Linked DNA regions of Styela clava. The protein of the gene in region 1 interacts with the protein of each later gene in a pairwise test. Links are inferred from orthologs where the notes say so. Each region holds a gene or a part of one and is shown on either strand. Other genes may lie near its edges. The genes, in order: max-like protein X and max dimerization protein 1-like.

Evidence for each region.
Region 2: the proteins of max-like protein X (region 1) and max dimerization protein 1-like interact in a two-hybrid assay, tested with the Homo sapiens proteins (2 studies listed by BioGRID and IntAct). The link is inferred for Styela clava from reciprocal best matches to the Homo sapiens genes MLX and MXD1.

The regions. Positions count from the first base shown.
Region 1 is NC_135253.1:16,286,312-16,302,300, forward strand, and holds max-like protein X, read right to left. Parts: upstream 6,088-15,989; 5' UTR 5,743-6,087; coding exon 5,528-5,742; intron 4,934-5,527; coding exon 4,423-4,933; 3' UTR 4,087-4,422; downstream 1-4,086. Other genes in the region: uncharacterized protein LOC120326434, read right to left, coding at 1,937-2,109, 2,388-2,502, 3,305-3,508; uncharacterized protein LOC120325823, read left to right, coding at 7,532-7,591, 7,957-8,085, 8,608-8,724, 9,147-9,239, 9,597-9,720, 10,321-10,538, 11,318-11,541, 12,217-12,891 and 4 more. UniProt on the Homo sapiens protein: Transcription regulator. Forms a sequence-specific DNA-binding protein complex with MAD1, MAD4, MNT, WBSCR14 and MLXIP which recognizes the core sequence 5'-CACGTG-3'. The TCFL4-MAD1, TCFL4-MAD4, TCFL4-WBSCR14 complexes are transcriptional repressors.
Region 2 is NC_135257.1:12,293,087-12,310,127, forward strand, and holds the start of max dimerization protein 1-like, read left to right. Parts: upstream 1-9,369; 5' UTR 9,370-9,900; coding exon 9,901-10,024; intron 10,025-11,460; coding exon 11,461-11,551; intron 11,552-11,703; coding exon 11,704-11,733; intron 11,734-11,980; coding exon 11,981-12,095; intron 12,096-12,366; coding exon 12,367-12,535; intron 12,536-14,311; coding exon 14,312-14,442; 3' UTR 14,443-17,041. Other genes in the region: neuroligin-4, Y-linked-like, read left to right, coding at 201-375, 923-1,975; tubulin alpha chain, testis-specific-like, read left to right, coding at 6,036-6,038, 6,324-6,555, 6,629-6,733, 6,797-6,993, 7,121-7,618, 7,678-7,871, 8,045-8,177. UniProt on the Homo sapiens protein: Component of a transcriptional repressor complex together with MAX. In complex with MAX binds to the core DNA sequence 5'-CAC[GA]TG-3'. Antagonizes MYC transcriptional activity by competing with MYC for MAX binding.

The DNA.
Region 1 (15,989 bases):
AATGAATATTGAGTTTTCTGTTGTGCAAAGTAATCAATTTGTGACCGATAAGGGCATATTTAAAATGTCTTGCTTTATTATTGTCTTCAATTTAACCAGCGGTTGAGTCGACAAAATAAAATCTTCACAATTTTAAAATACGACGGCAATCTGCGGACATAAAGTGTGGTAAAGTGCTCGAATATATAAAGCTTTGATTTCCTTATTTTCAGGACTTCTAACATCAAAAATTCCATAAATTTGCTGTAATATCTCAGGTTAAAATTTATTTTAGCACAATAAAAATTGATTGAATATACATTAGATTGATTATCTTATATATATCATCACAACCCGGGGAAAGTTGTCCGTTTCAAACCTTGTATAATGTTGAAAAGAAAATTTTCGACGGCAATTTAAAGTAATGGATAATATGGCCAATCCCACCCACATTTAACAGTGCTTCGATTTTAGTGATGATATGTTTCCTAAACGCCGGCCAAACATAATGTGTGCGAGAGGCACACGAAATTTTGCGATTTTCAATGTCAAAAAGGGGGTTTTAAACTGTCGCAGGCCTCAATAAAACCCATATTTAAAGTTTTATTTTCAGTATTTTATATTGCCGCTTTTCAATCAAAAAATTTGCGTTGTCCTCAGAAACTCGCCGCCGATGAACGTATATTAATTAAACTATCGCAATTCCGTGTGTGTACATAAATAAAATAATTATCATCGTTAACGTCGCACAACATTGTGGAAAATTTTTAATTTAGAGAATATAAAACCAACATAAAGTTGTTTACGGCCTAAATACCACGTCACGCTGATAATAACAATCGGCGATTATAGCAAAATGCTATTGCACGCGTTATTGGCGACTTTTAGTTTTAAAAAAATTTCAACGGCAACGCACGGGTATACCTAATATATAAAACTTCGATGTCCACCGACCCGCAAGAATTAATACTTTCAAAAAAATGAATCGGGCGGGAATACAGATTACGAACTTTAGGATCGCGGCGACAAAAACAATTAGCGATTTTGATGAATTTAACCAGTAAATAAAAAACGCTTTGTTGTGGATTTTTCAAAGTTTCTTCTAATTTTCGAAGGGAGTATCGACCTCCGACGGACCCCCATTGTATTTAAAAAAAAATTTCGTTATTCGACTATTCGGTATTCGTGAAAAATATTCGAACTATTCGATTCGAAAAAAATATTCGATTTTGCCCACCCCTAGTCACGGTCTCACGGACCCCTGTTTATGAATCTTACGGACCCCCATCCTTACAATACAATTGACATTAATGTGATGGATGAGGTTGCTTTTCACTGCACAATTTATCAATTGTGTTGTGACAAGCAAACTAATAGGTCTGACTCTATCATGTAGAGTCGTTGCAAGAGCCAATAAAATTTCAATTGCCTTTTCTGACAGCAATGGATATTCTTCCGCAACTCTCAACAAAATATTGAGATGGCTTTTTGATTGAAATCAATCATTAAAGTTCAATCAGACTCTTTTCATATCGTTGCGGACCCCCTGTGCAGTCATCAGTTTGGGACGCTAGTTTGGGAAACCGGTTTATATCAGGATGAGATTTCAATATTTATCATAAAGGAGTGGACAGATATCAGATCAACTAACTTTGCAATCATTTAATCTAACAAGAGAGCTATGCTCAAATATATGGACACGTAGCGCCACCCAATGGCAATAATTTTGATGACGTCATAGCGAAAAAAAAAGTAACAGCCTTCTGGAGAAAAATTTTATCTTTAACCACTGGAAATTTCAAAGCAATTGGTCCAGTATTCGAAGAGAAAAGCGATTTTTTAAAAATGGAGACGGAGACAAATAACAATAACAACAAAATTTTGAAACGATCGTTATGTCCACTTCGTGTCCAAAAAGAACTTTTTAAATGACTTGTAAAAAAATCTATGTGTCTACCTCTTCTGGAGCATTTTGTGGTGGTTGAAACTTTTTCAGAACTTCCTCAGCCAGAACAGACATGTATTCTCCTATTCCAGTAAACATGATTGCAAACAAAGGAATTCCAATTAAAGCATAAAATATGCAAAATATCTGACTGTACCATTGTGTTGGGGCAAGGTTTCCATAACCTGAAAATATAGAATTACCGTAATGATTAAAACTTTCATTGTCCGTATGAGATTTGTAGATTTGCATTAAAAGTTAAATATTTTAAGCACAAATCAAAATTACCTTCCTGGTTGGGAAATGCTGGTTTAAAAAATGTTTAACAAAGTGTTTGAGAATCTGACAATGTTGGTATAACAGAATAAAATAATATCGACATTTTCAAGATTTATAATTCATAGGTTGTGAGAGCAGAGTTCAGATATTTTTGAGAAAAATAGTATAAATTAGCAAATCATACCAATGGTTGTGATGATGGTTCCTGTGAAGAACAATGAACTTTGAAAATCCCAATTTGCTGGACATTTGACATTACCCTGCAGACTAATACCATGACCAGAAAATATGGTGACATTCTAGGAAATACAATAATAATAAACGTGAGAATGAAATTTTTTTATTTGATAGGTGGCACAGCCACAAAGAGTTGCACGGAATGTTCCCAGCTCTTTCATCAGGGCAGCTACAGATGTAGCGTTACCAATAACAGAACTGGCCCAGTGGCAGGGTTGAAGGACATAGTTGAAGACCAGCCTGGTATTTTATTATCTGATTTTTTTTTTTAATTACAAAATATATAAATAAAACAGGATTTTCTTTGAAATATTTCGAATTACCTACCAGCAAAGCTTATCACTTATGTATAAACAAGCTGAACAAAACAAATGAATTATAATCGGTGGACTAAGTACCAATTATTTATTACTTGAGAGCCCTCTGGAGGTTCACACCTAAAAAGCCTGCATACTATGTAATATTACCCTGAATTTGCATATTTTACGGTCGAAATATCTGAGTTTTCAAAAAAATATCCTTCCCGATGGCAGGAATTTAGAATCAGGCATTACTTAATCAAAAGCCTCTAAAAGCACAAAAACACTATTATTCCTGAGTTGACGATTATGGCAATATTACCCAAAAACTTTTTTTGTCATGTATATTTAGCCCAAACATAAACCATATATGAATTGAAAAATTTTGAAAGGCAGTATGCTCACCAATAATAATAATCGCAACATATCAGGTAAAGCAAAATTCTTCTCTGAAAAGCACTACTATGAACATTCATACCGATAACAACAATAAAGATATACTCTCTATAAAAGAGCTGATATTAAGAATGAATTTTGTAGTTTTAGAGTCAAATTAACATCTAACCTTAATAAACTTGTTTAAAGTTTCTTCTGTAAAACCTTCATTATTACGTGTTTGATTCAACCATTTTTCTTTAAATTGTTTTGCATCCTTGCATCGTTGTTTTTCCACTGGTCTTTCCATAGCCATGAATACCGCAGCACCAATAATCATATACACAAAATAGAATACAATTAATAAAATCAAAACGCGTATTCTCATCAACATTCTGAATTGGGTTATCCTACCACATTTGACATGAAAATTAACTCCGTAAGTACACTACATTTCCCGATCGCAACTGCCCATGCATATTGTCTATACTTCCATATGCTGCACTGACTAATTGTTTCGATAACACAATGATAGGAAGCTCCGCTTCTGGTACATAATTAATTTGTCTAGAAATGCTATTGTCAGTGACGTAAGAATTTTTGTGCATTGCGCAACATTCCAACTTTTACAGTGGTTTTATGAATTAGTATAATGCATAATATGAATTGATAAGCCAACTACATTTTTCTTTCCTCCATTTCCACTTATCCTTTAATTAAATGCACATCACTACAAAATGATCACAATCATAATAATTGTCCAATAAAGTACTGTACTTTCTCCTTAAGTGATTTTCCAGAAAACCACGTCACAATGATGGAACTGTACCTTATCTCATTATAAGAAAACAACTTGCAATTTATAAGTCGTAAAATTCAAGCAGAATGATATATTACTTAAACGCAAGATTATATTTGTGATAATTAATACAAAAAATTAAATCATTATTAAATAGGTATTTAGGCACACTACATTTAAGAACATTTTCATCAACAAGAAATTATCTATTGTAAATCATATCTTGAAGAAAGGGACTCGATATGACAAAAAATAGCATGAAAATCATTATTTCTGACAAGTCAACTTTTTAAATTGGATCAACTCGAAAATTAAGGAAATATGACTCGGGGGATTCACAGACTTCTACACAAACTGGTAACCAGGATCTTCATTTTTTTTCAGTAAATATAATTATTTTTAAGTGAAACTGGTGAAAACGTTTGCTCGGTATCAGTATAACAAAGTCAATAAGATGCAACAAGATTACATATTATATGCTTTTCCTGTAAGAAAATGAAAAGGAAAGATCATCGCAATTGTGGATTCAACTGCTTTAAAGTATCGATTACAATATCTCGTAATGATTGTGGAGTACATTGTTCTTCAATCCAACTAAATACACAATGGGACAGTTCTTGAAAACTAGCCACGGATATTGATGAATTAAATGAAACAAAAAGAGTATCCATGATTCTTTGAAATACTTCAAATTTTACTTGATCTGACAATTGGTGATTGGAGTTTGCTGGGTTTGATTGATGAGCTTTGACTATTTGCTCATAATTTGATTTCATAATCGATAAAGATTGTTCTTTTTTACGAAGTTTTTCCAAATCTTCTGTCTGTTTCTTTCTCTCTTTTTCCAGATATTCTATGTAATCAATTGATCTTTGAAGCATAACAGCCTTGCTGACTTTTTGTGATCCTACGGTTTCTGAGTGAAGTTTGGGGACGAGCGTTTGAAGCTCGTCATATCCTTTCTTTATGTTGTCTCTCCTACGTTTCTCAGCGAGTGTGTGAGCTTCTCTTCTTTTTTGCCTGTATGCGAAAAAATAACTACATGATCGAGGAAGTTCCGCTTTGCAATAAATAGTCGAATAGTCATATTTTTCTTTCCCAAATCGATGAAGTTTACATAAAGTACAAAAACTTTTTCTGCTACGTTACATGCATTGTTGAGTAAATGGAGTGAGTATATGGAAAATTGACTCTGACAATAATTCAACTCTGATTCTGGTTTGCAAAAAATTCCCATTCCGATCCCAGAAATAAATTTTTGGTGTAAACCAGCATCTTTTATTAATAGACTGTCAGTAAAATAAAATGAAGAAATTTAGACTTATTTTATCACCATTGAAATTTTGCAATTCCGACTCTGAATCTGGGGAATTCAGAATTTTGACACCTGCTCTAGAGAAAATATGGGGAGCTCTCGACTCCGCTGCCCTGGTTACATGTATATAGTTATCATAAGCTATTGTATCACCACATTTGTGGCAGTATGATCATGTATAAACAAACTATAAAATGTTCATTACCGTGTAATGTTACATTATAAACAAACTAAATTATAAATATAAATACAAAAGTTTACTATTCGAAGATGTAACTATAAGTAACATAGCAATTTACCTGAACTTGAGCGGGCGTTCAGAGCTGTCATCATCTTCATCATCTGTGTTATGAACTGACGAAGCAGCACTTGATGGATTAGAAAAATGCAGACTTGAACTATGGTTCGGAGATGCCAAATCTATTTCCAACTTGGCACCATCAGAATCGCTAATCTGATCATAGCTTGAATCCATGAAACTTGATGAAGCAGACGAAAATCCAGAAGAATTCATGACTCATTTAAAATATCTATCACTACAGTATAAAAATTGTCTGTAGTCTGTTGCTGTATTCAGGTATTGGAAACGTAACACAATAATCTGATAATAGAATAATAAAAAAGGTTGCCGACCAACATATTTTGCATAATACCGTGTTTCCCCGAAAATACATAAATAAGACCTAGCCTGAAAATAGGATCTAGGCTAAATTTTAAAAATAATTTTAATATAAAAACCTAAAATAAGACCAAGTCGATAGCGCGAATTTTTTCTTAAATAAAAATGTGTTAGTTATAAGAAAATGAATATCATTTTCATATTTTTCATATTTGAAAATCTCGTAATTCTCTACTTTGTAATTTTGTTTTCGAGGAATAAAAATAAAAAACCATCCCCCAAAATAAGCCGTTATGTTTCGTAAGAAAATTGAAATAAGACATGGTAGCAAACCGCCTTACAATATGGCACACTTACAGACTTAGTTGATGAGTATGGTACCAAGAAGCACTAAATTTAGATCAAGGTTTCTACTAACAACGGGAAAATTCCCCAATACAGCAGTATGTTGCAGTAAGAAAAGAAATTCACTGTTTTGGAAGACTGGAAGAGGAAATATTACATTACATATTTATTCACACATTATAACTATTACTGTATTATGAGCAATTCAAACCTTACGGCAGTACGGTACAGTTATAAAAAGTGTGAGTGTTAATTACGCATATTACAGTATTCAGGTATTTCTAGCCTACCCAACTTGTTTTGTTAAATTTCTCCTTTCGCAGCTTCGCCTTTTTTGGAATTGTTTATTCTTCCCTCACTCATTCACTGTTTACTCTTTCCTACCTAACGAGGAATTCCTCCCGGTATGCCTGTTGGGAAACGCAACCCAATTCAACTTGGCTAGTACGATTACATAATTGGAAACAGGTTAAGCACTCTCGACCGCCATTCCAGGCTGCAGAGCAACTATTTGCTGGCTAAGGAGAAAGGGCAGCATCGTATCTTATCGTTGCGCCACAGGCGGCTGCCTTAGCGCCGGTGATAAACCGATTGATTTTAGTCAAACCGTAAATGTCAAACAACAACCATCTTCCTGGAATTTCACACAAAAATCAATCATTATTCAGTTTATCAATCAATGTGAAAAAATACGGGATATTTATTGAGCGATATTCGTTTTCAGTGTTTCAAAAATGAAAATATGAAACATACATAAATATATGGAATACAAGCAAAAACTTAAGTTACCCTTTTTATCAAATAGACTACTCCAACTTTTGACATTGGATATTTCATCGCAGTAAATGATGCAACTAAAACATAATAAAGTAACCGAGAAGTCAAGCATAGGCGCTATCTATGTTCACCACTTCTGAATTTCCTAAGCGATGAAGTTATAGACTACTTTCATTCAAGGCGATTTCAATCATTTTACTGAATTTTATCCTATATTACAGCCACATACTATTCATGATTTATCAAAAAAAAAAAAAATTATGACATCACAAACGGGAACACAGCTCCCTTTTTGTCGATTTTTATGAATGAATCGATGACGTCATATGATGAATGCTACGCATCGAGTCATACAGTTGTTACGGACGCTGTTTGAAGTAAACTATCACCAATACTGTATTTTAACAGTATTTTCTGACAAAAAATGGCCGTGATATTCGAAATTACGAATGATTCAGCAATCAAGCAACGAACAGTTGGAAGTTTAGTGATCGTGGTTCTGGAGAAGTAGTGAAATACTGAAAATAATCAAGTCTTTTATGTAGGAATAAAAATAAACAATATGGATTCCATTGTTCCTACTCAGTCGTTGCAAGCTATATTTACTCCAATACTATCACAGGTGCAGTGTGAATTTTCTGTTTTTTAGGATCCTGTATAAATCCAAAAACCCAGAATTTTAAAGTATCAGTGATGAGCAGTGTTTGCGAGGCTTGAGTCATTGACTCGAGTTGCACTCAAGTGACCTTTTTTAAAAGATTTTAAGTGACTCAGGTCCTCTAAATATAATGACTCGGACTCGTCATCAGCTAACCATCAGTAAGACTCAGTATTGACTCGAATCAAGATTCCGACCCATGATTAGCAACTTGGGGTTTATGGACTTTTACCTCACTTCATCACCAATGGGAAAAATGGTTTGAAAAAGTACTGATTTAGTCCTGTTGTTACTGATTTTCGGTTAACATAGACATTAATACTTTTCAGATCACTGAATTGTTGATTGTGACATCTGAAAAATATGAGTCAGAGACATCAGGAGGGTCGATAAATATTTTACGACCATTGGTTTCTATGTCAGAAGACATTGTTGAGAGTTTAAAAGACTTGACAACGGTATTCAGTTTTGTATTTAGTGTCATTGATTTGCATTGTGATTGCAACGACTGCTATATGTCAGCGCCCAATGTGGCAAATTTCATGTCAGATCTCCAAGCCATTCTCGCGACTATCACAGATTTGATTTATCCTTTGTCTATCGTCAGATAAACTTCTTTCCTATTCGTGAAATAAAATAAATTTATTCTGTTAAATATTAACGTAGTTAAAGCATTTCGAAGTTTGACAAGAGTCATGAACAAGGCATTCCTCGAAAGGTTTTATTAAATCAATTATGAAATCTTTGAGTTGTCATTTATTAGAGATAGGGTGGGTGTTTCAATAGTCATGTGTAGAGGAACGTCGCAAAGCAGTTCAACTTTATAAGACCAACTATATAAGACCTGTGCCTAAAAGTATTGTAAGGCACCAGGTTTTTTTGACTTAATAGGTACCTAATACTGGATAATAATCATTGGTAATGGTTTGTATATTTGTATTTTTTATATTAATTAAAAATTTTTTAATAATTTCCTGTAGGTTTGCCAACAAACTGTGACACTGGAATATGCGAAGGATAATGTTGTAAAGAAAGAAATAGATTGTGGGTCTCAGAATCTACTTGTTGCCGGAGAAAGTTTAGTTCTGTGTTGTCATGTATGTTGTTTTATTATTGTATAGGAACTCTATCGATTATATTTCATTGCCACACTTAAATATGTCAAGAAGAATCCGCTTAAAAGGAATAGTTTTTAAAAAAAAGATCATCTGATTCTGAATCGTCGTCTTCAACATATTGAGAATGTAACTGCGATTAGTATTAGTAATGTCCAAAAATTGCATCTGCAAAAAATTGGAAATATAGTTTGAGAATGGAACATAATTTTCAAAAAAATCAGATAATCAAACTGAATATTTTTGTTGTGGATGTTATTAATAGATACAATTTATGTCAAATTTTACGAACTATAAATTAGGATGTATTTTTAAATAATGTAAGATTTTTTGCAGTATTGAATGATTTTCCATAGAAGTGTAGAAGTCATAATACTGAAATCTGATTGATATTATTTCTACAGATATTGTGTTCGGCTACAAAACCTGATTACCAGCTAAAAACACCAGTTCCTTATCAGAATGATGTTCCTGGATGTCTTTCTGAGTTGAATCAAGTAAGTTTTTGGCTAATTTTGCTCTATCTACCGTAATGGTTGTCTGAGAAAGTGAAAATTAAAACTTCTGGTATTATATTAATGCACTCAGGATGAAGTTTTTATTTTTTTGTGGATATTCGCGCAAAGCGAGTTTGTGTGCACTCGCAGAAGAAAAACGAGACTGATATCCAAGCAAAATTACGAGTGATTACATAACCTAAATTTTATGCTTGTATACAATTGATATTGAAAAGCTTTCGTAACATATTATCCCTTCTTTGTTGCTGTGTTCAATAGCCAATATATTATACAACATACTACTGACTGATACATAGACTGGCATCACTTTTTTAATGGAATCTCATTTTGTCACAGTGTATGATGCATTTACTTCTTTCTATTGATGATGCTGAAGTTCGAAAAATTGCAAGTTATGGTTGGTCCACTTCTGAATGTCTTGCAACTCTTGCTACTGCTGACACATTGCAAAATTTGAATGGTATGTATGTATGGTTATTTGTATTCACATATATAATATAGAGAGGAAACACAGAAATATGATACAAATACTCAACTCGGCGTATATGACTCGACAAGCACATGATTGATCCAAGTATTGGGAATACATTTACTATTACACATGTGATTACCCTGTGTGGGATCGTAGGTTCAAATCTTGTAAGAGATAATCATATGCGAGAAGATTGTTGGACTCCTCGCTGTTGTGGGGTGGTTCACATAACCATTTGCCAAACAAATACCTAGTTAATATTCTCCTAAATGACACTACTACTAGTAACCGGACGGGAGTCCGTGGTTTGCCATATGATTAAGTCGTCATATAAATAAAATGTAGGATAAATGTGAAAATTCTACAATACACGACATTGCTGAACTAAGACAAAGTTTTACGATGTGTAGTTCAAAATTGGTGTCGCTTCTTTAGTATGCTCGTTTTATTGCTTTTTTCAGTTCATGGTGCATACAAGATTTTTGATATTACAAATAAAAGATTATGTTAATTTTGAGATATCGAAAAATTCTAATACTTACGGTAAAAGTAGAATAATCACATCAAATATGTTTATTCATATTTCAGATAAGTTCCGAAGCTTTGCTATTCCTGCAGCTGATCTCCACAGAGCTGCAAGTGCAAGATGCAACGACTTATTGGATGATAAATTACAATACAAATTGAAATGTTCTTTGTCAACTTTAAGACAATCTCTTCCCATGCTAACAGCAGCGTTGCAAATGGCAATTAGATATCCCGACAATGATGAAGTATTAAAAGGCAGAGATTTCTGTGTAGAACAGGTGAATAGATATAAAAATTTTATGTGTTGACTAATTGACTTCTAGGGTTTAACTTCTGTACCTAATTATACCTGCTGTTTTATATGTGGCACAAGTCAATTCATATTTATCCCGGGGTAGAAGAGAGTCGACAGGATTTCGCCGTCATAGAGCGAAGCAAAGTCCATGTCGTATGTATACTCTTTTCAGATACATGGACTTGATAGTGAAGAAAGTCATAATGAAACATCAGTTGAAACATGAAACATCCCCCCCTCCTCAATGACGAGTAATCCAGCAATCCCGATTCTCATAATTATTCCTCACAATATTTGAACCTACGAATCTTCGATTATGGTACGATGCTAGTGATGTTTCAGTGTCGGCTTGTAAGTCTTCCATCGGTAATATATTGGGTTAGATAGGGCTAAATATCTTGCTTTGACTAAACTCACAAGAAGGATATTATTTTCCATGATACTATAAAAAGCAACAGGAACAGCTGGGTGTGTGGGAATTGCACACAGTGAGAGTTCTTTGAAACATTAGTTTGTTATATAAATTTTGCGGATATGCCAAAATCTTTGTAATATGTAGATGAGGATTATTTTAGTAGAATTTTTTTGCTCTGTTTTCATAAAAGAAATATTCAATTTTATCAAAGCCTTAAATTTTTGACTGAAAGTTATTCATCTAGATTACATTAAAATTGAATGTGAAAATTAATACCTGAAACCTAAGCGAATAACGTATCTTGTAATATATTACCCAGCAACCCAATTTGGGTAATTTATTTTCAGGTCCGGAAAGCAATCGCAGACATTGTTAAAGTTATCACAACTAAAAATATTCGGAAATCATTTTTACCTGGTACGAAAATTGGTTTATTTTATGAAAAGTTGAATGAAATCAAAAAAATGTTGTCAGCAGAAAACAGGAAGAAAATGAATTTGATGAACCTGCATACCAGTGTTGAAGGTTTTGTTCAATATGCCATGGATCTTTCTTTGACTTTAGTGAAAAGGTGAAGTATTTTGTTCAATACAGTTGAAATTGATTTTTTAGTTCAAGGTCGTAATCCAGAAGGGCAAAACTTGAAAAATCTGGTTTTAGAAAATAAAAAAACAAACATGTTTTTTTGATTTATTGCTTTACGCTATGATTAGATATCAGCCTTAATATTTTCAAATAATAATGTACAATCTGTAATCTTGTATTTGATTTCATCACTCATTTTATATTTTATTTTTTTTACCAAAACTTATGAACAAGCCAACATTTAGTTTTGTAGAACACTCCGTTGAAAAAATAGGGGAATCAATAGAAAAAACTGTGACAGCATATTTTATAGAATATTATTTTCATATTTATTCCGAGAGAGAGAGATGATAAGAAGCCTTATTCATATGGGAAACCTCAGCTTGTTCGGTCCATGTTGGATATCGGAATAGTTGCCCTGTTATTTGTCTTGGATGCATGGACTTGATGGTCGGGAAAGTCGCAAATATCTGGTGGTTATGTGAACCACCCTACGTCGTCAGGGAGTCCATCCATTCTTTCACACATATTTATTCCTCATGGGGTTCAAACCTGCAAAATCACACAAGTCAATCAGATGTGTATTTCTAACGTTTCGCATGATGCGCCAACTGCCGAGCCTGACTATACAAACTATTTTTGACCAAAGATTTATTTACAGTTCATCTCCACTTGAATTGAAATCCAATGCCATCGTGACCTCCTGCAGAAAAATGATGCGATCAATGCGTGACTTGGAGAAAGCAGATGAGGCATTACACACTCAAACTTCAATAGAAAAAAATTTGCGACAAGTTCATGATGAAAAGTGCATGTCATTGAGTGCCATCTCACAGGGCACAGTGGCAGCGATACTTCATGCTGTTACGGTTTTGGTAACGCATATATTTAGAAGTATGGATGAACCACTGGTAGAACTTATCGATAGTTGCATATCTCCTAAAACGATCACACAAGATAGCATGGACAAAATGCAACAACATAAAGAATCAGAAATTGAAAAAATAAAAGAGTTGACAAAAGTATTTTCAAAGCATACTAACGATATAACAACAGCCGCAAGGTTTGCTGCATCGTGCAGTCAACATGCAGCAGTTTATCATAAATATTCAAAAGTTTTGTTCAATTTTGATCAAACTTCAAGGGCAATCATTACAGCCACTTCTCAGTATACCAAAGACAAGAAAGACGAACCAAGCGAGGCTTTGACTCAAAATGATAAAATTTTAGATCTTCAAGACAAATGGATTATTGTACTCGGAGATCTTATTCATCTTATTGTTGCATCTTTGGATTTGAAAGGATTGCTGGATGTAATAGTGGATGATGTTGTGAGGTAGGCGGTTTCAATTTATTTGTTACACAATGAAAATTTTGCAAAATTAAATTGAACCATTTTCGATCGAGTATGGTACATCAAAATAAATCATGTTTTTCACAGTTGAGAAAAGTCAATAATTGGGTTATCCATATAATGGAATATCCATATTTGTCCCAGGGAGAGAAAAGCCAAGATGGCTTAATAATATGAGAAACCATGGCTTCTTGTTACCATGGTTACCAGTCCATGTCGGGTATTTGAATAGGTAATCATTTCTTTGTTTCAGACGCATGGACTAAATAGAAGCCATAACGGGCCAGCAGTTATGTGAACCACACAACAACGTCGAGGTGTTCGGTAATCCCCTCACACATAATTTTTCCACAAGGGATTCAAACCTGCAAACATGCGCTGGGTAATCAGAGGTGCGATAGCATGCTAGTTAATAACGCTTAGTATGGTGCACCAACTGCCGGGCCATATATATATATATGTTAAATAACATTCTCTCATCTAGTTACCAGTCAGGTGTTGGTCTGGCTAACAATATCAATTGACTTCGATGGTGGGGGTGTTCGTTAAATAAACTACTCTGCAATAGCAACCTCAAACGTCTGCAACGTCAAACCTCTGACTAATTAAGACATTTGTATCCATACCGCATAATCAAAAGTTGAATTTTTGTAAAATGCAAATTGACAAATTTAAGATAATATCATTAATATGTTTTCGTAGAAAATAGATTTTAACACAAAACTAACTTCATAAAATCAATTTTTAGCTCACTTGAAAAATGCACAGAAGGAATAGTGAATATGAATGAAGCACAGGTTGCAACAAGTCTTCAGAGATGGATGGGAAAATCACGGTTTTTAGTGAGAGTCGCAAATGCAGTGGTATCTTGTAGCACCGAACCTTTATACAGAAATGGAGTTCTTTCACATGTTAAGACTCTGAAGCAAGTAAGGAATGAAATAATTGATTTTTTTTTTACTTTTTATATCCTATCTTAAAAAATGTCACTCAAATGCTAGTCGACTCAAATGGAAGTGTTTGAGTAACAATGTTGAGGAGGCTAGACTAGTTGAATCAACTCGAGCTGGACTTTAGTATCAATTTATCAAAGACTCAAGTCATTCGGACTCGTCATCTAATAACCAGCAGTGAGACTCAAGGCTCAGTACACTCATGACTTGACTTGTGACTCGAATTTGAGGAACTTCTACCCAACACTAATGCATAACTGTTATTCAGTATTGCATTATACAAAGAGCAACACTATTCTTACATTATAAATTACTGTATTTTATGACCCATAAGGTGCACACAGGTTATTAGGTGTATTGTCAATAAATTGCATAGATTGAGGTTTTGTCCAAACAGGTAAAATCCACGTCTAATAAAATGTTTCACCTAATATTTTCTAAATTGCGTAATATAACTAGAAGCTATTTGAGTTTTCTTATGCCATATTGCTTCCTAACTGATATTACTACACTTTGCCAGCATATTGCAAATTGTATTGCTCGTGGAAATCAACTCATAGAAGATATTGGTCGAGTTGAAGAACAAGAGTTATTTTCAAATTCAGCTGATCATTTATTGGAAAGTATCAGAGCAGTGTCTGAGGCAATTTTGTCCGAAGGAAATCATCCAGATTTAACGAGCATTAATAGAATGAATGTGAGAAACGAAGACACAAGCCAAACTAATTGTAAGTGAATTTAAATAAAAGATACTGGAACAAATTGCGTTGAACTAGAATATAGAAGATTGTTTATACAATTAATAAGAGAAAAATGCTTGTCATAAGGATTAATTTTGAAAAGCGCAATGTCGGAAAAAATATACCAAATGCTAGAAAATTGTAGCGAATCTTTCAAGAAATTATGCCTTGATTTATAAAATATTGGGGAATATTGGGGCCCTGTTTAACTCTAAGGGAATTTAAAAAAAAATACATCACAACAATAACAAAAATTTAACAAATTGGTCTACTATCGGTCCACTTCGTGTCCAATAAGAGAAAGTGAAATGCCTTATCGCCGGTGTTGAGTAGAAGTCTCGAATAAACCCAGTGTCATGAGTCAAATCGGTCATGAGTCATCTGTGTCGAGGAAAACACTTATTTGAGTCTCACTTTCAACTAGTCGAGTATGACTATGAGTCATTTCATTCGGATTGCTTGAGTCTTTAGTAAATGGTGACTCAAGTTCAACTCTAGCTACCTGGGCTTCTCTAACCTCGGATGAGGGCCCCATAATATACCCCATCATTTTGAATCTAATTTGCTTCTTTATAGCTGTATTAAAAGAAATGATGGCATTGAATGAGAAGTTAACTTCCCTGGGATTTGAACCCATAACAGATGAAGAGCTGGATGTTTCGTACCCTGTGCCAACTAGTAGCGAACCAGGATGGCCAAGATATTATTATAAAGATGATCAACAAGCCCAGCATCAGGAAAAAATGATTTCATCAACAACTGACGGTGCATCCATGTACGTTCTATAGTGTTTTGCTCCCCATGTTGTGTGAATATAAAAAAAAATGCTATTTTGTTCTTTAAATAGTCATAGTCAAGTTGATTTTTTCAACCAATTAAAAAATCACATACAAAATAGGAGAGAAATAAAAGTTGAACACACAAGTTTACTGGGGAAGATAAGCCGAGGGTAACCATTCGTTACAAGGCTTCCTCTGTTTTCTAGGATCATTGTGAAATTCTAGATTAAACAAATGTTTTTTTTATATTGTCATAATACACCGCTTACTTGTGTTTTTTGCTCCAAACAAAGCTAGATAAAAGCAGTCATTGATATCTAACAATATCTTAAATAATCACTCAACATTAACCAGGAAATGTTGCAATAAATCATTCAATAGTAGAATAAAATTGTGATGGAAAAAAACGTATAGATTTATGTCTCACTGCAAATGCCAAAAATTGCATTTAAAAACTATATATCAAACACTTATTTTTTTTTGGGGGGGGGGGAGGTGGCAAGGTTCTCGCTCCCCATACCTGATAATCTTATTCTAAACCATCCCTTAGGGATAAAAAAATTTAGAATCCAATTTGTTTACATTTAGAATTTCTGAATCACGAAGTC
Region 2 (17,041 bases), on another chromosome or scaffold:
TATTTTATATTATTATTTTTATATTATTAGTATTTGAATAGACACGTATGTTACCTAAATAGATATTGATTGTGGCTACTAGATACAAAATATTGATTCTATGTGAAATATTTGTTATATTGTGAGTATCATTTGGCTCAAAGATATATAAACTGTTGAGCATTTCTCGTGTAAAATATTGATTCTTTCTCATCTTGTAGTGACGCTCTTAGTACAATGTCACCAAATTCAAGTGATGAATCTAACAAAGCTGATGGTGGGATGTCACTTCGTTTGACCATTACGTTGGCTATAGGATTCGTTCTTCTGTTTGTGAACATTATTGCTTTCTCCGTTGTCTCATATCATAAAAAGAAAGACAAGTTCAAGATCGAGGTGCGTACAGTATAACCTAAGACATATTCGAAATGAAAAGTATTTTCTCTAATGATATTTTTATTGGATGTTTCTATCTAGCTATTTGTGCTATAGTTGCCATAGTTAACTGCCAGTCGGATCTCGGAGTCGTTTACTCCTACTAATACTGGGAATATCCGGTCTCTTAAATATATTTATATGTGGAGTTTGACTTTTTACCCTAGTATGATTCAATGTTAGATTTTTCCATATATGTGGCTGCTCGATAATCACTACTGGTGATTACTGATTCAAACCAGACCTTGCTTTCCGCTAGGAAAAAGGCAAAGATAAGCACAAACTTATGGTTCCACCCCAAAATAAATTATGCAAATTATCTCATCTTTTTCAGGTTTAGTTATTGACCGCGTCCCTTGTACTGATTAGGGCTCAAACTGGAGCAAGCCGGTATTTGAAGTCAATATAGCTATGCTTGTGTGAACCCCGTTTTAACACATTTATTTAAAAAACGTATGGTATTATTTTTATGCTCTCAACAATATTTTGATGATTATATTTTACATAGAAACTGGAAGCACAATTGGCTGAAAAGAACGATCTCTTCAAAAAAGAAATGAAGAAGGTTGATAGCAACGGTGATGATGCTCCAAGTGGGGACAATAAAATGAAGCCACGGAGTATTACAAACTGTCACACCAATCCTGAAATATCACTGGATGCAGCAGTGTTGGAAAAGTCTAACCACGCATTATGTGCGTACACTTTACCACATAGGTATTCTCACACAAAATCTCCAACACGTGCTATGTCTACGACTGCGCTACCACAATTGAAACCATGCGTTTTTCGCGACGATTCCCTCACGTCAACATCAGCAGAAGAACAGAGCAGAAATACAAAAAGAAGAAGCTTTAAAAAATATGGCAACGCATATCATTCAAGTGACGATGGATCACCCGCTAGCATGATGGTTTGCAACAGCAAGGAAGAGTTATCAACAATTCACCCACCCATACCGGAATTCAGCTTGGGAATGAAGAAAGGCGACTTTTCGACTGAAAGTGGCGGTCGGTACAGTTTACAAACTACCAATTCGGCTACTCCAGATCATCATCGGGCGTACAAAACATACAATGGAAAACAAGCCGTTCAAGGCACAGTGCGACTGAACGTTGTTGAACCACCAGGCGAAGAATCGAATCGGCCCACGTCGCTTTGGTCCGTTGTGTCATCTGTTGCCGACGGACGAAGCGCTTTTCAGCGATATGGATTAGAAACAACAACGCGGGCTGGGCATCACGGAAGCGAATCACACATGGCGTCTTCCTCCGCCATTTCCCAAGTTGGAGACAGTTACGCATATGCTATACAATCCGATTCTCAAAAAAGCGACGTTGAAATTAATGACACACTACCTGTTGAGGGAGGTTACCTTGCTAGAGATTTATCATGTGGCTCAAAGTCTGCTCTGCTTACATCTCCAATTGAAAAACCCTGCTTCCGATCGGATACATCCGGTTCAGAAACAGATCGTACCGGATCGTCTTCGAGAAGTGACGCTATCGGAAGTTACTGTGTGACAAATAATAAAACAATGAACGTTATTACAAAACTATGATAGAATTAGTTACTAAAAATATTTGATTTTTCCAACCAAAATTGACGTGATTGCTTGATTTATGAATATGGTGGCACGAAAATATGACATTGCGTGCTACTTTTTTATTTTTTGTACCGTCTGATTATGTGATGCCTTCTTTTTGTTTGTGAATTATTTTAAATACCATGTTTTTTACGGACAAACCAGTTGACAGAATATATACTGCTACTGCTCATTCATGAATGAATTGATTTTTGCACATACATCAATGATAAATCGCATACTTTTGGCCATGTATAAATAATCTTGGTTCGTATTTCTGATTACGAGTGCTTGTGACCTTGTTTTTAATAAATATTCATTATACAATTGTTTATTATCCTCTGTTTAGGTATTTTATGCAGTGGGCATTATCCAAGCCAGGCTCAACAGTTGTATCAAAATCTCTGAAACCTTTTTACAGACGGGGCGCATAATTGAGCTTTTTAGAAAAAAAGTTTTTATTTTTGCTACATTACAATTGAATTGGACCCGAATTCTGACTTGAAAATCCAGGATCCATTCAAAATCGAAATAGAATTCAATAAACTTAATACTTATTTTGAGAAAATAGTCATGATCAGTAGTTTTTAAGGTTTGTCCAATCACTTTATACAACGCAAAACATGTTCCAAAAAGTCATTCGCCTTCCTGGCATCTTACAGAACAATGTTCTTGGTATAGATCCGTTAGTCGTGGGCTATTTTTGCTTGTGTTTAAAACCAGGTTTACCATGAAGGCTTTTACCAGAAGAACCAGGAATTCCGATTGGGCATGATCTTTTTTGCAAGAAAAACATTGTGTTAAAGTACATGACTCTAACTTATGCTATCCCAACATTTTCCTTAATGCTGGAGACATTTAAAAAACGTTATGAGAACAAGTATTTACACAAAACACCACACTTGATTTGCTGTACACGTCTTAAAAACGAACACACTGTCTAAAAGGCAGCTCAATATATTTTGGGGATTGGGAATTTACATATAGGCTTCTGCAGGTATAATATGATACCGACCGTTATCTCGCAGTCTCGCGAAACTGCCCGTCTGCTGTTAGATGGCCTACTAACAAACTATTCGGATTAGTAGATTCAAAATTCCATTATGATCAAACAATTCGCATACATAAAAATTTGGATACACCTAGTGACTGAAGTAATAAAACTGAGGTGAACGGGGAATTTTCTTTTAAGTTAAAGTATGCAAATTCAATTCAATTCGTTTATTACTCCAGACCGCCGTGGTCCATATAAAAACAACACAACAAGTAAACATAAGCAAAACAAAAGTAACACAATAAATACATAAAATACCTGATATGACAATCAGATTCACAGTAAGTCTCAAAAAAGAGTTATACTATAGCAATTTAAGAGACCAAAAGTGAGGTATAGAATCTAAGATAGCCCGTAACAAACAGTATCTGGTAATCAAATAATGATAGTAATAGAATGTTATTGGAGTTCCTGCATCTCGTCATGAACAACCACAGATTTTTTCTATGGAGTGCTTCGAAAGAGGGAATGTTCCCAGATACCATTTTGTGACAGACACTATCAGATCTAGAGACACAGTGAATTACGCGATAAGCATTATTATATGAAATTTTAACTTTTTTATAACTATAATTATTGAAAAACAACCAGAGCTGGCAGTTATAAATCCTACAACAATACGTCCTAAATAAAAGATTTTTCACAGTAGTGGAACAATTGACAAATTTTTTCCAAATTGTATGGGCTATAAAATAAATTGATTTATACTGACGATTCAAGTCAAGGTCATCTCTAAGATCACTGGATAGGAAAACACCAAGATATTTAGTGGACGAAACATAAGTCAATACAGAATTACGAAGTTTGATATCAGGCAAATTATTCAGCCTAAACTTTTTATTCTGGATACACATACAAACAGATTTTTTCGAGTTGTACAAGATGTCATGTTCAATAGAGTATTTATCGCATATGTTAAGTAAACGTTGAAGACCTTTGGCTGAAGGTGAAATGCAACACATGTCATCAGCATAAAAAAATGATGGATAATATTGTTATTTGCTACACATCCAATGGTCTATTGATTCAACTTAACAGAAAGGTCATCCATGAAAACAGCATATAAATATGGACTTAATATACTACCTTGCTTGGTACCATTATGAACAGAGAAAGGATCTGACACACTGCTACCCCAACTAACAAACATGGATTGATTACGATACATGTGTACAATCAGCGATAAAAATATTTTGGGGATTCTTCTGTTGATTAATTTACGAAATAGAGTCCAGTGATTAACTTTATCAAAAGCTTTAGTGGCATCCAAAAAAGCTATGAAAACTGGTGATGATTTTTTGGAATAATAAGTAGCTAGTAGCTAGATGCTTTATTGTAAAAATGCACATGTCAGTCTCGTGACCAGGCTTGAAACCAAACTGGTTGTGAGATGTAGTTAAGTAAGACTCAGTGTTATTTGAAATGTGTTTTTCAAAAATTCTTAAATAAGACAGAGGCCACTGCAATAGGCCTGTAGTTACTTGCACTACAAATTTCACCATTTTTGTTTTTAATTACAGGCTGAATAGAACTTGAAAGGAAGGATAACTATGGTTCATACATGTGTTAAACGAAGTCGCTTTATAATGAATTATTAGCCTTGTGTCGTGCCCCCCCCCTTGAACTGCTTCGTGGCCCCCGGTTGAGAACCACTGTAATAGGGTATGAATGCCGTTTTTTTTTATGTCGGTACGTAAGCTATATTAGCATGTAAATTAGCTTTACATAAATTTAATACAAAAACTTACGAAAATACAACAAGGCTAGCTGCGATGCACGTTACCAATTCGCTGCCGTCGTCCATGGCGGGTTATAATAATTTCAACCAAGCTCTGCCATGATATATTCTTTGCTGCAAATTCTATGATGTCATGAGTTTCAGACACGCCCTTATTTCATATTCTTTCGTGTAGGCTACATCGATGAGGACATGCCTTCATTGTGTAGGCCTACATCAATTTCTGATTTTGAACTTGTCCGTGAAACTGAGCGACACTTCACTAGTAAATTATGAATAAGGCGTCGTTCACCTTGGAGGTTTTTCGTAGCAGCCTGAGATATTTCGAAGCCAATTGCAAACACAGCCTAAAACGATATCACACAGAAGTACTCCAAGTGTGCGATATCCGTGACGAAACAAGTGTACTGGGATTTAAGTAAAATCGTCCAGATAAATTTATACCTGCTGTGCATACTGAACATGGAGAGACAGCTATTTTATGAGTTGTTTAAACGGTTCCATTACATTTGAACCCACGACAATTGCACCTATGGAAACTTGCATCTACGGATATTTGAACCCATACTAACCCGAACCCACAACAATTGCACCTAGGTGCATACTATTGCACATATGGAAATTTGCATCTACGGATATTTGAACTTTTAGCACCCGCATATAGATTGCATTGAACCCGCGGATATACGGGTGCAAATTTACGTGGGTTCAAATGTGCCGTCACCGTTTAAACACGAAAGTCTGAACACATGCGATTAAATTTCACACAATTAAAATGCTGTTTCATACGAAACTCCATGATAGAAAACTGTTTCATCGGACCTTCTTCGAACATCTTCACCGCACCCCAAGGATTCGATCGAACACGTTTAAGAAATACTGGTGATACATAAACTCATTACTCAACTCAAAAGAGTATATCTATGTTAGCCTTGAAATTCTATTTCGATTGTGCCATAAATATATTGAACACCCCCATGTTACATCAGATACATCCGTATAAACATACTGTGTAGGATAAGTATGAAAGTTTGGCCACATTCGGAAGAAAGCCATCTGCTTGGCAGTAATCATTACTGATAAACAACATCACTATTTTGTCTGAGCACTAATCACTTGTTGTTCGCTGTCCGATATAAGAACAGTTTTGTCAAACGCATCTCCTCTTGCCACGTCGAGCGTCTAACCCCGTTCGCGGATCTGTTTAGTTTTATTTTCGTTCGTTGTTGAAAGGTTATCGGAAGATGGTGAGTATTATAGTTACTAATCGCTACTGATGCAAAAAGTCAGCTAGATGAGCGAAACATGTGGGATTTTTATGTGGGTTTATTTCACTAGCCAAAGCTGCTGAAAGGAATGTTTGAGGTGAAATAATGTACAACTAGTTTATTGATTTTTTAACTGTCTGGCGCGGGCGTGGAAGGCACGGTGGTTCGTAACACGTCGAAATTTAAAAATTCCCAAAGCCTCTTTACGACATACCATATAAGGCCATAGTTCCTATCATTGTCAGGAGTGAATTTGTATTACAGCGCGAGTGTATTTCAATTCACGTTGGACAAGCCGGAGTTCAAATTGGAAATGCATGCTGGGAGCTTTATTGTCTGGAACATGGTATAGAACCAGATGGTAACATACCAGCACGTTCTGATCCCACCAAAGAATGCAGGGCCGACGATTCGTTCAACACTTTTTTCAGCGAGACGGGGTCTGGAAAGTATGTCCCGAGAGCAGTGTTTGTGGACTTGGAACCAACTGTTGTAGGTAAAATGATAAAATATAAAAGATAACTTGATTTAAAACATACAATCCGTGTCTAATAACCTAACCATTACAGACGAAATCCGTTCCGGCAAGTATCGACAACTGTTCCATCCTGAACAACTGATTACTGGGAAGGAAGATGCAGCGAACAATTACGCGCGTGGACATTACACCATCGGTAGGTAGTCTCATCTAGAGAGTATTTTTTTTTGACGATTATTAACTTTTCGAGAATTTTTAGGCAAAGAACTGGTTGATTCCGTTTTGGATCGAATTCGAAAGCTCACTGATCAGTGCACCGGTTTACAAGGATTTCTCATTTTCCATTCGTTTGGCGGCGGAACTGGGTCAGGATTTGCCTCCTTATTGATGGAGAGACTCTCTGTAGACTACGGTAAAAAGTCGAAGCTAGAATTTGCTGTCTACCCCGCTCCCCAGGTAAGATCTATCAATGTGACAAAAGCGTTATCAGGTCGGCTTTTTTCCTGGCCTTTAATTAGTAGGCTTATTGGATTTGGGTGTTTCAAGGGGCAGTGCCCAATATAATTTTTTTATGTTTTCCAAGGTTTCGACCGCTGTTGTTGAACCATACAATTCTATTCTGACCACTCACACAACTCTGGAACATTCAGATTGCGCTTTCATGGTCGACAATGAAGCCATCTATGATATATGTCGACGTAATCTGGACATTGACCGCCCAAGCTACACCAATCTGAACAGACTGGTCGGCCAAATTGTGTCTTCTATCACTGCATCATTGAGATTTGATGGCGCACTCAACGTAGATCTGACAGAATTTCAGACTAACTTAGTGCCATATCCACGAATCCATTTTCCTCTAGTTACATACGCCCCTGTGATATCGGCTGAGAAGGCGTACCACGAACAGCTCTCAGTAGCAGAAATCACAAACGCTTGCTTTGACCATGCTAACCAGATGGTTAAATGTGATCCTCGCCATGGAAAATATATGGCTTGCTGCATGCTTTACCGAGGTGATGTTGTTCCGAAAGACGTGAATGCAGCAATAGCCAATATCAAGTCTAAACGCACGGTGCAGGTATGTCAAGTGTGTTGCGAATAAGTGGTAGCTAGATATTAATCTTTTTTATATTTTAGTTCGTCGACTGGTGTCCAACTGGCTTCAAGGTGGGCATAAACTACCAGCCTCCGACTGTCGTCCCGGGTGGCGACTTGGCAAAAGTACAGCGTGCAGTTTGCATGCTCAGCAATACGACTGCCATCGCTGACGCTTGGGCACGTCTGGATCACAAGTTCGACTTGATGTATGCAAAACGAGCATTTGTTCACTGGTAGGAAATTTATGCACGTTTGTAGGTAGGATGTAGATTTTTTCAAACACGAAGGCGGATATTTTCAATTTAGTATTTTTTCCCCGAATTTCATTCATGCAAACTTTGAAACGTCAATTCATAACCAGTTTTTAAGATTGAAATGCGATAATAAATGAAGTTTCGTTTCGAAGGTACGTCGGCGAGGGCATGGAGGAAGGAGAATTTTCAGAAGCTCGCGAAGACCTTGCTGCCCTGGAAAAAGACTATGAAGAGGTTGGTGTCGATTCTGCGGCTGACGGCAGCGCTGAAGAAGAAGAGTATTGAGCAGACTTTGAAAATATGCCTTCCAATTGCAATATAAATTGTTAGTGTCCCTATTTAACACGTTCCTGGCATATCTGCATCAGTTGTCGAGATTTTCACGCATTTTCCGAATTTTGTATAGTACCACTTTTCCCGAAACGCTTGTTCCCAGAGCGGACACTTTGATCAGAATACATGCATTTCAATCAATAGACTAAATCTTAAATGGCTTGTATGGTATTAGCTTATGAATGAAATAATTGAAGCAATAATTGTGCCTTTTTCACGCATATTTGCTTGGGAACTATTTTGAGGCGCACGTTGCAGGTGAAATCTTTCTGGAGTCGGGCCTTTGACAATGCGTTTTTTTTGGTGCTTCAATTACTCGAGTTTACGGCTTTCGTGAAATTACCCGTCCGTCATGTCGGTTATGCGCATGGGTTTGCTTTTGAGTGAGTGGTAAGTAGTCGGCGCCCCGAAGTGGGATACTTTCTCGTATCCATAATATTAGATTTTTAGAAAGGGTAGTGTGATATCCCTTTAGCAGTTCTTATTGCGTATGAATCTGGGAAATAAAATCTCGTTTCGGCCGGCTTCGCACGTTTGGAACTTCACTCATCGTTGTCACGATGGGGAAGATAAGCGTAAAGGCGGCTTTATAAATCGGAATTCACGGCATGATTGTCCAAATTCGGTTTATGATGGTAAATGACCTACTATTCGCCATCAGAAACTATCAAACAAGCCAACAGAACTTACAAAATGTTGCTACGTGGCTAAAATGCTGATTCTTGTCAGGTTAGAGGCATCGCTGTACAACGAATTGAACAAATGTGGGTTTCGCGTTGGCTTTGATGGAATTAATAGTAATCGAAAATCGTATTCTAATTGGATTCGGTTCCATTAAATCCTCAAATCATCCCATTGCGTGAAATTTTTTTGTAAGCAAACACTCCACTTATAGCGCGGAAAACGTATGCCATAAAACGGTGACCGTACATTTGAACCCATGTACATTTGAACCCATGCGTATATCCACGGGTTCAATCTATATGCGGGTGCTAAAACCCATGGGTTAGGGTTAGTATGGGTTTAACTATCCGTGAAACAAAAAAAATTCCATAGGTGCAATAGCATACAGGTGCAATTGTCATGGGTTCAAATGTACGTGGGTTCAAATGTAATGGAACCCCATAAAACACTCGGAGCGGACGGATGCCGTCTACAGAACAACAACACAGGCTGATTGGAGTCTTATATGACGTACAATCATCATACACCAGTCAGCTGATTTCGCAGAGAGGCGTGGGTGTCGCGTGTTTGTTTCTTCGTGTTGAGCGACGCGCTCCGCATTGCCGATTTTCTGTTGGAAATGGCGGACAGGGGTTTCAAAATTTAGCGATAGCGACCTTGTGCTCGCGTCTCTCTTATTCCACTATTGTTTAGCAGCGGTACCCCGCCTCTTCGATACGCGTTTAAAAGGAAAAGTAGGCGCAGGCGTGCGAGACATGTGGCCTCACTGGAGAAGAAATGCTTTGAATTTGATTGGTTACCGAGTTTTTACGTCACGATTTCTTTGTTTTTGTGTTTAGCCCAGAGGTAACAACCTGACACGACGAGGTTTAGCGGGCGACCTTAGAGCATTTATAGCAGATTTATTTTTAACGAAATATTTGATTACAATTAGTGGAATAACGTGAAACTATTTTATTAAGCAAGTAACTTAGAATATTGACTGTTAATCATGTTGCGATCAATGAATGCATCTCCGACCAGCGAAAGTGATGACGATACGAAGGGGCTGGGGTTGGAGTTATTGATTGAAGCTGCAAACTATTTAGAGAAATGTGACAGTAAAAGGCAAAGAGGTAATATACTGACAATCAATTTGTGCATATTTTCCTCAATACCATTCATTTTAAATATGTAAATCGAGAAATTACAGACCTTTATCAGATGATATTTTTCAGTTTTCTTTTTTTATTCTCATTGATTATTAGCACATTAAGTTGTTGTTGGTGATATATTCTAGTATTGCATTTTACACTTGTGTGATCAATATCAGTTATAACTATATTTCTGATAAAACTGGAAAATGTACCAGTTTATAAAAGTCACTCACACAGGTCATAAGTCAGTAAGTGCGGTCATTCTATTTTTCTGCACTCAATAAAATTCAGTTTTGATCAAATACATTATCAATATTTATAATAGGCTATATATTGGTGGTATTGTCAAGAAAAGTTGTAAAACTTTTATACACGCATTGATACAGTATTGCAACGTGCATTAGAGCGTTTTGACTATTGCAGTTGTTACAATAAATACTTTCATCAAGTTTTAAGTAACGTATCAAACTATTCCAGAAGTGTCAATTGATTCAGCAAATGTTGCTCAGTTGTTTATGGCATGATGTAATAATTCACATTACAGTACAGCACACTATACAAATCGCGTGACATTGTCCCGTTTCAGAGAAACCCATTTTACAGATGATCAGACACCCCTTCTTTGGGAGACGTCTGGACATTGTTGTCCCTCAATATCGGTAATAATGCAGTATAATGAAGTTGCGCAAAATACTACAAAGAAGCGCACTCTAGTAACGTCATCATTGAATTCCTTGGGAAAAAATAATCCGATTTACAGAAGGAAAAAAAATTCTACCGTAGCATTCGAGAGTTTTTAGCAAAAAACGGCAATTTTGGTCATGTGACGGCCTCGATTAATTTAGATTTTTATTGAAACAAGCATGGCACGATATGAAGCATCTGACGTGGTCCCAGACGCCCCTCGTTTGTGAGACACATAGAGTGTTTGTTTTATTGAGCCAAATGGAGGGAAATTCTTGGAATTTGGATAGTGTGCTGTACTTTAGGTGTAACTTTCAACTTTCTAGGTATTTCTCTGTATTCAGATCATCGCAAGGTTTTAAATATATTTAGCATATTGCATTTAATAAGTATTTCAGCATATTGCATGTTGACTAAAGATTTTGGTTAAAAAATATTTTTGTCTGAACATTGATAAACAATATCGTACCTTATATAGGGTGACTCAAAAAACAGAACCCATAAATTTCTTAATTACTTCTACGAAAATATTTTAAAATCTGAACACGTAACTTCAGTTTGTGTATGATTGTACCCAAAAGTTGTAGTAATCTACGAGGCTTTGCATAAGAATTATCTTCTCTCTCTCCTTCTCTGAGTTCTGTTTTTGGGGTCATACCATATAATGATTCATATTGTGATTGAAAAAGATTTTGATTTTGGTGACAAATATTTTTTTTTATTTCATACAGAATCAGATCATGGATATGCATCAACTTTTAAATACGGTGACGATGAACCGGCTAAAAAACGACTGAAAAGTTCAAAGAAAAGTCAAAGCAGGTATGAATATTGTGATCAAAAATCTGTTAGACTCTTGAATAATATTGAATACGGATATTTGTTCTAGTTATGAATTCAATTATCCTTTTATATCAATTTAACATTTTTGACATGGTATTTCTGAAGTACTATAATGCTCTTTTTGTTTTCAGGACATCCCATAATGAACTTGAAAAAAATAGGTGAGTGGAGTTACTTTAGCCCCATAGGCTGGATTATCATCCGACTATTTAATTAAACCAAGATTTTGTGTTGTGGTAACTTCATTCTCGACTATCCATGTACCGGTAATGAAAATTCATAAATACTGACCTAAACTGATGCATTCATTAAAATTGCTCTTCCCCACCCTGGCATGTTTCAAATATTGAGCAAAGGTTTTAATTGTTTCTGTGATATATGATTGTATTATTTTGATACACAATTTAGACGTGCCCACCTACGAAACTGCCTCGATAACCTCAAATCAATCGTTCCTCTTGGATCTGACTCAAACAGGCACACTACCTTAGGACTGTTGAAAAAAGCTACTTCATTGATTAAGGTTGGTGGAAGAAATATTTTCAATTTGGATTTTCAGAATTAATTCGTAATACTTTTTGATAGTACATATTATAAAAATGTAATTTCCTGTATTTATAGACTCTCTTGCTGTGAAATTATTCAAGTTAGATACAGACTAATTTATGCTGGGAAAACTTTCGCAAGGCTGAAGGTTGTTATGGCTTTTTGGTAGCAGTTTTGAATATGTATGGATGATCTTAAATAAAATAATTATGAAAAATTATCATTCTTTAAATTTGTTAATATTTTAGGACCTTGAGGGGAAGGAGGTTGGTTATGAGAAAGAAAAAGACAAACTCGGCAAATATAATGAACAATTAAAGCAAATTTTATTTCGGTTGGAAATAAAATTTGAAAGACTGCGTCGAGATTCAACCGGATCTACTTCACTGTCTGAGTGCTCAAACGATTCTGATAAAGGTAGGTGTATTTTTGTTACAACTTATTTAGGTTCATAGCAATGCATGCACAACTAGCAAGAAGCGAACAATATGGCAAGCCAACATTTTGAATGTATATACAGACAAACTTCATCAGAGCGATTAATTTGAATAAGCCTTTCAGCAACCGCCTGCTATATTTAGTTTTATATTATGCACTAGTATATACTCCCTCAAGTAGTTTGTAAGTAGACAGTTAATTTTATCAAAAGGTTCTGCTTCCACCATGTTTTTATGCACAACATTTTGTATTCTGCAGAAACATTTGAACATTTCAGTTAATAAGTTTTGAATATTTGGTTTCAGAATGAAACATTCAAATTTTGAAATACTTAACATAAACAGATAATCAATGGATATTTCTGCCAATGAAGCCATAATTTAATAATAAATCAAATAAAAATTGTCTATTATTCTGTCCTATTTTTGTTATTAAATTTTATAACTGTGTTGCTACATATTACAACATCATTCGAAACATTTCTCAGAAGCAAGGCAATCTTATACATTACTGAAATTACAATACCATCTTGCAATGCTCATTGGACAATGATAATTTTCGTGTATCATAGTATTATTTGTTATCGAATATACCTATTGAAAGGATATTTTGGACCGTGTTGGATCACAACTCGCAAGTTCCCGTTTCTTTGTAACACAATTGATGTAGGTCACATGGCACGTCAAGTAATTTTGGTGTTAGTCATCGAAGCGTACAAACGAAGCGTACAAACGTCACACACCTAAGCATATTTACTTAAAGCCACACTTGGGCAAGTCCAGACTTGAGTCAGCTGGTATTTTGTTTGTAATCTGAAGATCTTATTCTCTCTTTTTCGAGTTGTTGCGTGCGTGCGAATGCTATCAAACATTTGCATCACATTGATGATATGCAGTAGTTTAATATTTAAACAGAGTAAGGCTATTAATATTTAGTGCCTTTCATGAGGTCAATTGTCTCTTTGAGTGTGACAAATATTATATCAATGTCAAATAAAATGTTCTTCATTGTAAATTTAATTCTGCGGACTGTGGTATTGTTCAACATTGGAAAAATAAAACTTAGGTTTTTTAAATTTCCCTCTATATTTAATATGAATTGATTCAGAATACTGAATTGCGTATCCCAAATTTTTCCCTAATAATAACATTTTTTGAAGGAAAACTTATTAGACTGAGAAATTCCCAGTAGGCCTACATGTTTTTGTATTTTATCAGAATGGAATTGAATTAAAGATCATTTCTGATCTTATCAGTATTTGAAATGGTGTGGCTATTGACTTTATATGCGAATCATTTTGACTTGTATTTTAACCAAAGTTTTTCAGCGTTCTAATGTCACAAATGCGAGGTTATGAAATTCATTTTTAAGCCTGCACGTTTTCTATTCATTTAAAACATTGCTTTCTAAATGTTTATATGATGGGTCATTATTGATAAATCATGAGATTGGATACCAAATTATCATTGTAGGGAAATTTCCATTATCCTCCACATATTATCAGTAATCAAAATTAGTTTTGTCTCTATTTTAGAGGAGAGTAATATGGCTTATATTGAACTTATTCGCAATGATCTTAACTACACATTGCTTTGACTGATTAAAGTTTTAATGGGTGTAATTCCATGTTCTAATAGTATAGTTAATAAGACTTGGTGATCTAAATTGTTTCTATTTGTTTCTATAGCCTCAACCTGATTAGCGTTTTTATTATATTTTAAATTAATGTAAATTTCTGTATTTTTTAATGAACAGATGAAATTATTGATGTTTTGGACACAAGCTGTAGCAGCAGCGACGAGTTAATCCAAGTTATGACAGCGGCCAACAACGATGCCAACGGTATGCTTATCAGCATGCCTGAAATTTTGATTGTCTCTACGTAGCATGTCTCTCTGATGAACCAGGTCAACATTTTCCTTTTAATCATAAACATTTTGCTTCGTCACTTCCAGTAATGACTACATTTGCGACTCTGATTATTTCTAAAAATAAATATATATTTCTATATATTAATATTATTAAGAAAATGAATTTTATTGACCTTCAAAAATTTCCTAACAAGCGAAAGCTAATTTCCCATGCCCTAATAATATTAGGCAAATTGAATCAGGGAGTTATCCGCTTTTATTATTTCATTTATTGAAATCTGATTTAGAAATTCTTTATGGTTTTGTTGTGCTTCCTATTTACTCTCATTAGGCCAATGTACTTAAATAAAAATAAATGACTATTTGGGGCACGGAATTTATTAGTGGTATATCAACACTTTTCTATATTGCTGTGGTTTTTCTCACATCAATGTATGAATAGCATAGGAGAATAATCTATTCTTCGTTTTTATATGTTGTTGAAGTAGTTAAGATTCATATAAAAACCCTATAAGTGTAAGATTCCTAGGCCTATCATGCTTAGGATTTATTATAATTGTTTTTGAACTGCATATTATTAATTGTTTTTCTCTGGCTGAAAATACTTTCTGTAATTACAAGCTTCGCCATGGAAATGGGAGCTTGCATTTAAAAATTTCATAATATGTATCGTATACATGTCGATACATTCTCGAGTCTCGAAATTCCAAGTACTGTATTGCTTTACAATAAAAATGAATATGTATTTTCATGTCGCAAAGATTTTTTGTTATGCAAATGCTATCGTTATTGCCCTACGAGCGAGCCAACCAACCAACCAGGTAAACTCACCTATCGCCTTTCAAGACATTTTCCACACCAAATGCGGCCAAAGAATCACTGTGAAAATTTGAAAAGAATATATTCAGGCCCATTCAAATTTGTATTGTGTGTTTTGTCTCCAGTTCTAAATTTCTAAATTCAAATTCAAGGGAAAACTGTGTTGAATTTTTGGTGCCTAAATTATGCATTTGTCCAACTGACACTGGCGACACAGAATGTTATTTAATATTCAGTTCCCGAAACTAAAATATCATAAATTGTGTTTATATATGAGTGTATTATTAATATATTGAAAAAAAAAATTATATATATAATTGGTTTTAGGTAATACATATGACTGTCTTGTGACCTGTGTATATCAACCAAAACTTTATTTTTTATATGTCTATTCGGTAATTCACTTAACAATGCGCCAAATTATTTCAAACCATTGGTTCAGGGTTTAACAAACCGTCATTATGCCCAATTTTTTTTATTCTAATCCAAATTTGTGGTCGCATTACAAGTTAACAATTGAAATAATCAATTGGATTTGACTATTGGATCCTTAAAAAAATATGCAAATTAGCCGGCCCCTGTGCCAGCGTAAGGTGTAATAGGCCAAAGTAAATCTATCGCTATTTTATGTAAAGTGTTTTATGAATAGTTGAACTCTTTATTGAAACCTGTTAATGCACAAACCTGAGGATTGTGGATATTATAATTCATTACTATAGGAGTGATCTGTATGCCAGCAGTCATAATATGACCCTCGGGCCTAATTTGGCTCGATGGTAAACTTGAATTAGGGCAAGTGGTTCTGAAAAAAATTCAGTTTTGATTGTGGTTCGAAGTGTTATTTATGTATAGAGGTATGTTTGTAGACAGTTCCGTATATTTTATGTAGAATGTAATCACATGTCAATACATCAGCAACTAGCATATTCATGAAATAAGCTTAGAATGTCTAATTTTTGTTTGGAAAGGTCATATTTTTTAGCTTGTGATGCGTTATTCTTTATTGTAATTCTCTCATTGTTGGGTGTATTTTTCTTATTTTTGTCAAATTTTTTGTACCTGTGTAAAACTTTATCACTACATAATGATACTATTCTGATGTCGTTTTGTAATAATATCTATTTTTAATACCCCTAACAAATAAAAAACTATATGTGTGCGAAATGAAATGTATCTTTATTTTCTCCGTGTTTTATTGTTTTTGTTGTACTATCTTATATTCACAAATAAAAAATAAAAATATAGATTTAAGGTTTGGGGATGTTCCATATCTAAAAGATATACATCCTAGTTTTAGGGGTTCAATTTAATAAGTTCATATTTCAAATGAAGCATGGTTAGGACCTTAGGTACTGATTATTCTGCATTAAAAATGAATTAATTCTATTGTAAAACACCTTGAACAGAATTTTGAAAACTATATATCCAGTATGAGAAACTATATATTCAGTAGGAGAATATGTGAAACACTTGAAAAATTTAAAACATGAATTCATTCTATTATTTGAAATTGCTTCATAATTGTGTCATATGCAAAATTTACTTTAGCACATTTATAAAAACTTCAGATATTTATGACAGAAAATTCTTTCCAATAAAACGTTTCTAAACAAATCTGTATTTTTTCAGATTTAAACCAGTTTTTCTGTGAAATTTGTTGTTCAATTTTTCAGGCATTCCCACCCGAGACTGTCAAATAAGCTATATAATTATCTTGCCATAATAACTGTTGATTCATTTTAAATCCCCAAGCTCAATTAACCCAAAAAAATTTTCAGTCACCATGTTTCAATTC